2 linked regions of the Saccharomyces cerevisiae S288C genome follow. The gene in region 1 interacts genetically with each later gene. Each region holds a gene or a part of one and is shown on either strand. Other genes may lie near its edges.

Region 1 (4,265 bases):
TCCAGGCGTATGCAGACTTCTCTGATCATCTGTCACATCTGTGGAATTTAGTATGGGCGGCAATTGGCCGTCGACTTTGAATCTGTTCCGTTGACCCATGGCCATGTCTCTTTTCATCAAAGGCTCTAACGGATCATAATCTTTCAATGGTGGAAGGACAAGCGCCCGTATGACGCTTAGATCTACTATTAAGAACCATAACAATATTCGCGCTAGTACGCAATGCATTCGCTAACTGAATTGAAGTTTGCTTTACCTATTGAGTACTTTATCAAAGCTGCCTTCTTTGTCATTGACGGTAGCTTCAAAAGAAAAGGAAAGTTCAATTGTTAGTTCTATTATAAAGAAGAGAAATTTCAATTTTACATATTCGGAACTTTCTCTTTTTTCATTCGGCTAGTACAACTACGTAGAGAGTATATCTCGCATCCGTCGTATGAGTAACGAGTTATGCTTTCCTTCAAAAGAAGGGTTCTTCCTTTTTCACTTTTTTCTTCTTCCTATTTACACGTAGGACAGCGAATACGGAGTCATGAAACCTTAATAATGCGCTGTTTTTTATTTTTTCTAAGTTTCAATTTGATTTTGTCGTTTCCGTCATAGCCATATAACTAAATTGAGATATAAACTATTTTTATTTTTCCGAGAACGGCCACTGCTTTGGGGCATGCATTATACGATTTCTCGAGAATCCGGTGAAAGCGTATACCCAAAAGAGCAACATAATTGACTGACCCACAATTTGGTTAGAGACATGCTATGCTGATCCTGCATATCTCAAACAGGCAATATGATAACATACATAAGCAATCTCGGCTACGCGGATTTTGTGTGGGTCTGAAAAAAAAAAAAAAAAAAAAAAAAAATAGCGCGGAGCCGGGTGAGAACGTTGGACGGGTAACATAAAAACAGAGCTCTTTATATAATCAAGCATTCCCTCCATACAAAATGTGTCTGCAGCCACGTGCAAAGTACGGTCGTCGTGTGCTAAAGACCAGTAAGTACAGTCTAGCGGGCCTCTGACTAGCTTCTCTGTGCTTGGCGAGGGGTTTACTGGAGCCCAATCGGACTAGCCGGGCTTCGTCACTGCGGCAATGTCTTCGCCCAACGGATCGGAACAGCTCACTGATTTCACCCAAACGGGAAAAAGGAAAAACAAAAACAAAACAGAACGGCGTAGTTTCCGGCAGCCATGATGATCCCTGATCCATAGAGCCATTTTTTTCATTTATTTCCTAATGCATTTTGTTCATATTCTGGATCTGCGTTAAACGCTGTAAAACTGGCTCGTTTCTTTTATATATCTTGCAATCATTCGCTGCTCAACCATCCTAGTCTCTTTTTACACGTACCCTTTTTCCACTTTTTCTTTTAGTTTATATATTCTTTTCGCCTAAGAACATTTGTCTTTGTAATCTACTTAACTTAGCAATTGTCAGCTGTCCTGTTACAACCTGTTCTCCAAAGTGAATACAATAAGCAGTATTTGCTCTTTTTCGTCTAGGTGCGTTGATCTAATCTTCTTTTTATTTTTCTTCTTCGTTCAGCCTTTTTTGTCCTCACCGGTAGCGTTCACCCTAATTCTTTAATTGTCATACCCATAATTATACTACAAATTTCGTGGTCTAGTTTTCTAATATAACTAATTACTTTCTCCCTTCTTACTTCATTATTTTAATTTTGCATTAGTACTCCTCTAGCCAAAGATAAACAGAAATGAACAGACAGGAATCCATAAATTCGTTTAATTCAGACGAAACATCTTCGTTGTCTGATGTAGAAAGTCAGCAGCCGCAACAATATATCCCTTCAGAGAGTGGATCTAAATCCAACATGGCTCCTAATCAACTGAAGTTGACCCGGACGGAAACCGTGAAGTCATTGCAGGACATGGGTGTGAGCTCCAAAGCCCCCGTTCCTGATGTTAATGCTCCTCAATCTAGCAAGAATAAGATTTTTCCTGAAGAATATACTTTAGAAACCCCTACAGGTTTAGTTCCTGTCGCCACTCTACATTCCATAGGTAGAACTTCTACTGCGATTTCCCGTACGAGAACTAGACAGATCGATGGCGCTTCTTCGCCTTCTTCTAATGAAGATGCTTTAGAAAGTGATAATAACGAAAAGGGTAAAGAAGGCGACTCTAGTGGTGCGAATGACGAAGCTCCAGATCTAGATCCGGAAATTGAATTCGTTACCTTTGTGACTGGCGATCCAGAAAACCCCCATAACTGGCCTGCATGGATCCGTTGGAGTTACACTGTCCTACTGTCAATCTTAGTTATTTGTGTCGCCTACGGGTCTGCTTGTATCAGTGGTGGGTTGGGAACCGTTGAAAAGAAATACCATGTAGGTATGGAAGCCGCTATTTTATCGGTTTCTTTAATGGTTATTGGGTTCTCGCTGGGTCCTTTGATTTGGTCTCCTGTTAGTGATCTTTACGGTAGAAGAGTTGCTTACTTTGTTTCTATGGGTCTTTATGTCATCTTCAATATCCCTTGCGCCTTAGCTCCAAATCTAGGTAGTCTTTTAGCTTGTAGATTTTTATGTGGTGTTTGGTCATCATCTGGTTTGTGTTTAGTTGGTGGGTCTATTGCCGATATGTTCCCAAGTGAAACAAGAGGTAAGGCTATTGCTTTCTTCGCTTTTGCTCCTTACGTTGGTCCCGTTGTTGGTCCACTAGTTAACGGTTTTATTTCCGTTTCTACCGGACGTATGGACCTGATTTTCTGGGTCAATATGGCCTTTGCAGGTGTTATGTGGATCATATCTTCTGCCATCCCAGAAACGTACGCTCCAGTTATCTTGAAGAGAAAGGCTGCTAGATTAAGAAAGGAAACTGGTAATCCCAAGATTATGACTGAGCAGGAAGCGCAAGGTGTCAGTATGGGTGAAATGATGAGGGCTTGTCTGTTGAGACCTTTGTACTTCTCTGTCACTGAACCTGTTCTAGTTGCTACTTGTTTCTACGTGTGTTTGATTTACTCTCTACTATATGCGTTCTTCTTTGCCTTCCCTGTCATTTTCGGTGAACTATATGGCTACAAAGACAACCTTGTGGGTTTGATGTTTATTCCTATTGTTATCGGTGCTCTTTGGGCGTTAGCCACAACTTTCTACTGTGAAAACAAGTATTTACAAATTGTCAAACAGCGTAAACCTACTCCTGAAGATCGTTTGCTAGGTGCTAAGATCGGTGCTCCATTTGCTGCAATTGCTTTATGGATCCTGGGTGCTACCGCTTATAAACATATTATTTGGGTTGGTCCAGCTTCAGCTGGTTTAGCTTTTGGTTTCGGTATGGTGTTGATTTATTATTCATTGAATAATTACATTATTGATTGCTACGTCCAATACGCATCCAGTGCTCTGGCTACAAAGGTTTTCTTAAGATCCGCCGGTGGTGCTGCCTTCCCCTTGTTTACCATTCAAATGTACCACAAATTGAATCTGCACTGGGGTTCTTGGTTGTTGGCTTTCATCTCCACTGCTATGATTGCTTTACCTTTTGCATTTTCTTACTGGGGCAAAGGTTTGAGACATAAGTTATCCAAGAAGGATTATTCCATAGATAGTATTGAATAAGAGTAACGATTTTACGAATCGAGCATAATAATGAAAAATTATAGTAGTAGTAATGATAAAAACATAAGCAAACATAAGCAAACATAAGCAAACATATCAAACATGCATTCAAACCATTATCCGACAGTAATGTACATATATTTTTACGTATTTTACATTCTTTCTCTATTGTTCTTTTATCTATTGCTATCCTAAACAAATATATTGATTGACCTTCAAACCGTGAGTAACTTTATTAATTTATATGTATAGAAAAAAAAAAAAATTGAATTAGAAATTTGAACTTCTCAAGTTCATTCTTCTTGTACCTATGCGATGACTTTATTTTCGGTTTTTACATTCCTCCTCATTTGACCGAGGAATACGAATTTGATTGACCCCCACTCACTAAACAAAGGGTCGGAATTCTTTTCCACTTTAAAACTTAGTAATAACAACAAAGTCAACAAAATAGTCCTATTGCAAAATTGCAGGTTCCTTAATTAATATTCTTAAATGATCATCAATAGGCGTATTTTGAAATCTTTTGAAGAGATAAGTCATTCATTAGAGGAATCACTACGAGAGGTTGCATTTGATTCACAGCAACAATTGATTCAAGACGTACGTGAGGAAAATGAAGAACTAAGTAGGTTACAAGATCAATTACAATTGATCAGGTCAATTGTTGAAAAAATCTG
Region 2 (4,475 bases), on another chromosome or scaffold:
TGCTCATGGTTCACACCAGCATAAGAGGGCCGTTGCAGTTACATACGTTTACGAAACAGTCACTGTCGATAAAAATGGTCAGACCGTCACTCCAACCTCAACTGAAGCCTCTTCTACAGTTGCTTCCACTACTACTCTGATTTCCGAATCTTCGGTCACCAAGTCTTCTTCCAAAGTTGCTTCTTCTTCTGAGAGTACTGAACAAATCGCTACCACCTCGTCTTCGGCTCAAACAACTCTGACATCTTCAGAAACTTCTACTAGCGAATCCTCTGTGCCTATTTCCACATCTGGGTCAGCTTCCACATCTTCAGCAGCTTCCAGTGCAACTGGAAGTATCTACGGTGATTTGGCTGACTTTTCAGGTCCATATGAAAAATTTGAAGACGGTACCATTCCTTGCGGCCAATTTCCATCTGGTCAAGGTGTTATCCCCATCAGCTGGTTAGATGAAGGTGGCTGGTCTGGTGTTGAAAATACTGACACTTCTACGGGTGGCTCTTGTAAAGAAGGGTCTTACTGCTCATACGCTTGCCAACCAGGTATGTCCAAGACACAATGGCCTTCTGACCAACCATCTGACGGCAGATCCATTGGTGGTTTGCTATGTAAGGACGGCTACCTGTACCGTTCAAATACAGATACTGACTATTTATGCGAATGGGGCGTTGATGCCGCTTACGTCGTCTCTGAATTGAGCAACGATGTTGCTATCTGCAGGACCGATTACCCGGGTACCGAAAACATGGTGATTCCTACATATGTGCAAGCAGGTGACTCTTTACCCTTGACTGTCGTTGATCAGGACACCTACTACACTTGGCAAGGATTGAAGACATCCGCGCAATACTACGTTAACAATGCCGGTATTTCTGTCGAAGATGCTTGTGTTTGGGGTTCTTCAAGTTCAGGCGTCGGTAATTGGGCTCCATTGAACTTTGGCGCTGGTTCTTCTGATGGTGTCGCCTACCTTTCTTTGATTCCCAACCCAAACAACGGTAACGCATTGAATTTCAATGTCAAAATTGTCGCCGCTGATGACTCTTCTACAGTCAACGGTGAATGTATCTATGAAAACGGTAGCTTCAGCGGTGGCTCTGACGGTTGTACCGTTTCCGTTACTGCTGGCAAAGCTAAGTTTGTTCTATACAACTAAACTTAGGCGCATCAACAGTTGAGTAAGTTGATTGTATTATTACCCCATTCTTTTCTGCCCGTCCATTTTATTGTCTGTTTAACATACACTAAAACCCACGCCGGATTAATATCAATTTTTTTTTACTTTGTTTCTATTTATCATTCTTCCAGACATAAATTATTTTGTAATATTAAAGACATTTGAAAACCTACATACATCGCACACCTCTTCTTTCATTGTCCTAAAAACCACCCAAAAAAAAAAAAAAGACATCAAATCTCTTTTTTTTTTTTTTGTAGTTCTGTTGCCGTATGCTATCTACTCCTAAGGCTTTTTTCTACTACGGCAATCTATTCACAATGTGCAATTAGGCTAAATGCTAAAAAAAGAAAAAAAAATCCGGAGCCCCTCGATGACTCCTGTTTCCGTTTTATACTGTCCAGCGCAGACCGCACTTCCTACGTATACTTCTTACGGGGAAGGGAGCATACACGAAAACAAAAGGACCCGTAATGACTCGGAAACTCCATAGATCGGTAAATACCGGCTCGTTACCCGTCCTCCATCGGAAAATCTCTCACCGATTTGTTCCGGTATCGGATAATTTATGAATCACCCGGCTTGATGGAACCGTTTTTGTTCCGTGAAATGCCCGGCCTGCATTGTTTTCTTCAGACGAGAAGCCGTTCCAACGTTTCTTTTTCTCGTCACCGGGAAGTTGCGGGCACCTTAGGGCAAGGAAAAAGAAACTTCTCTGCCCTCATCGAGGATACAGTTGATCATACTCAATATTATATAACGCTTAACACTGTCAAGGTTATACACTTTTTACTAACTTTTTATTGCTAATATTGTCGTTCTATATAAAATTATGGATTTTTCCAGGCTTACAAAGTTAGCATTTATACGGAGATAAATTTATTTTTTTGAGAATCCAAGCTAGATTCAGAAAGTCGAATCAGCAATGTCACGAAGTAACAGTATATACACAGAAGATATTGAGATGTATCCTACTCACAATGAGCAGCATCTGACGAGAGAATACACAAAACCAGATGGTCAAACGAAAAGTGAAAAACTAAATTTCGAAGGCGCTTATATCAACAGTCACGGGACTCTATCCAAGACTACCACAAGGGAAATAGAAGGCGATTTAGACTCTGAGACTTCTTCTCACTCCAGTGATGATAAAGTTGATCCAACCCAACAGATAACTGCAGAGACAAAAGCGCCATATACTTTACTAAGTTACGGTCAGAAGTGGGGAATGGTTGCAATTCTAACAATGTGTGGCTTTTGGTCTTCATTGGGATCACCGATCTATTATCCCGCTTTGAGGCAGTTGGAAAAGCAATTTAATGTGGATGAAAATATGGTTAACGTTACTGTGGTTGTGTATCTGTTGTTTCAAGGTATATCTCCCACAGTTAGCGGTGGTCTGGCGGATTGCTTTGGACGGAGACCTATAATTTTAGCAGGTATGCTGATATACGTTATTGCATCCATCGGGCTAGCATGTGCTCCATCATACGGTGTTATTATCTTCTTGAGGTGTATTCAGAGTATTGGTATTTCCCCCACAATTGCAATCAGTTCTGGTGTTGTCGGGGACTTCACTTTGAAGCATGAAAGAGGTACATTTGTTGGCGCCACCTCAGGGTTTGTTTTACTGGGTCAATGTTTTGGTAGTCTTATTGGTGCCGTCCTGACTGCAAGGTGGGATTGGAGAGCTATCTTTTGGTTTTTGACCATTGGTTGTGGAAGTTGTTTTCTAATTGCCTTTCTTATTTTGCCAGAAACAAAGCGAACCATTGCAGGTAACCTTTCCATTAAGCCTAAAAGATTCATCAACAGAGCGCCGATTTTCCTACTGGGCCCAGTTAGAAGGAGATTCAAGTACGATAATCCTGATTATGAGACATTAGATCCCACCATTCCGAAACTAGATTTGTCATCCGCCGGGAAGATCCTTGTATTGCCAGAAATTATTCTGTCTTTATTTCCATCAGGGCTCTTATTTGCTATGTGGACGTTAATGCTTTCCTCTATTTCATCCGGTTTATCAGTGGCGCCATACAACTATCATTTGGTCATTATTGGTGTGTGTTATCTACCCGGTGGTATTGGCGGTTTAATGGGTTCCTTCTTCACAGGTAGAATTATTGACATGTATTTCAAGAGAAAGATCAAGAAATTCGAGCAAGACAAAGCTAACGGGTTGATTCCACAAGACGCAGAGATTAATATGTTCAAAGTCCGTTTAGTTTGTCTTCTGCCCCAAAATTTCTTGGCCGTCGTAGCCTATCTTTTATTTGGTTGGAGTATAGATAAGGGCTGGAGGATCGAATCTATTTTAATTACTTCATTTGTCTGTTCATACTGTGCTATGAGTACATTATCAACATCAACTACGTTATTGGTCGATTTGTACCCAACGAAATCATCTACAGCAAGTAGTTGTTTCAACTTTGTTAGGTGCAGTTTGAGTACCATCTTCATGGGTTGCTTTGCCAAAATGAAAGCTGCGATGACTGTAGGTGGTACTTTTACATTTTTATGTGCGCTGGTATTTTTCTTCAACTTCTTAATGTTTATTCCGATGAAATATGGTATGAAGTGGAGGGAGGATAGATTATTGAAACAACAAAGACAGTCTTGGTTAAACACCTTGGCAGTCAAAGCCAAAAAGGGAACAAAAAGAGACCAGAACGATAATCATAATTAATTGGCATTCTTCAATTTGATAGACACTTATCCCTGCATATTTTTTTTATAAACAGCTTATAGACTTTCATGTAAATTTTTCCTAATTAATGTATTATTTACTTCGTTAATTTTCCGTTGAATTATTGACATGTTAAAGGTGCACTAAATATACCTAATACAAAAAATGGTTTTCTGTGGCAAATATATACAGTGGAAATTTCAGCATATAATCCCTGCTTTACTCTTTCCTTAAGATTTCGTCATAATTAGAACTTTTTTTGGTAAACTGCATTTTCTACCATTATTACTTTACATATGTATAGCTACAAAACTGTATTTTGAAGTGAAAAGTATGATGAATAAATGAATCGTGAATAAGTTGATCTTTTTTTATCAAGAAAATCATTGAGATGCACATTGAACACCTTCGCCACCTTGTTCTTCTTCATCGGAATCATAGTTTGCACCACCCCTGGAGGCCCGTGTTCTGTTGTATTTGGCTGGGTCAAAGTCTGCGAGTACACATTCGTCCACAGTAGCTTTCTTTGGAATGGCTGGGACAATTCTTGGAGGCAAAATTTCTTCTAACTTCTTCAAGTTTTCTTCTGATGTGAAATGGTTTTCTGGGAAC

The links.
Region 2: mutations in TPO3 (region 1) and AQR1 impair growth when combined (synthetic growth defect), as found in Saccharomyces cerevisiae (one study listed by BioGRID).

What each region holds. Positions count from the first base shown.
Region 1 is NC_001148.4:837,229-841,493, reverse strand, and holds TPO3 (spermine transporter), read left to right. Parts: upstream 1-1,716; coding exon 1,717-3,585; downstream 3,586-4,265. Other genes in the region: TDA6 (Tda6p), read right to left, coding at 1-228; NCA2 (Nca2p), read left to right, coding at 4,081-4,265. UniProt on the Saccharomyces cerevisiae protein: Cell membrane polyamine/proton antiporter, involved in the detoxification of excess polyamines in the cytoplasm. Recognizes spermine, but not spermidine.
Region 2 is NC_001146.8:501,622-506,096, forward strand, and holds AQR1 (Aqr1p), read left to right. Parts: upstream 1-2,102; coding exon 2,103-3,863; downstream 3,864-4,475. Other genes in the region: putative glucosidase SUN4, read left to right, coding at 1-1,156; type I HSP40 co-chaperone YDJ1, read right to left, coding at 4,247-4,475. UniProt on the Saccharomyces cerevisiae protein: Probable transporter that confers resistance to short-chain monocarboxylic acids and quinidine.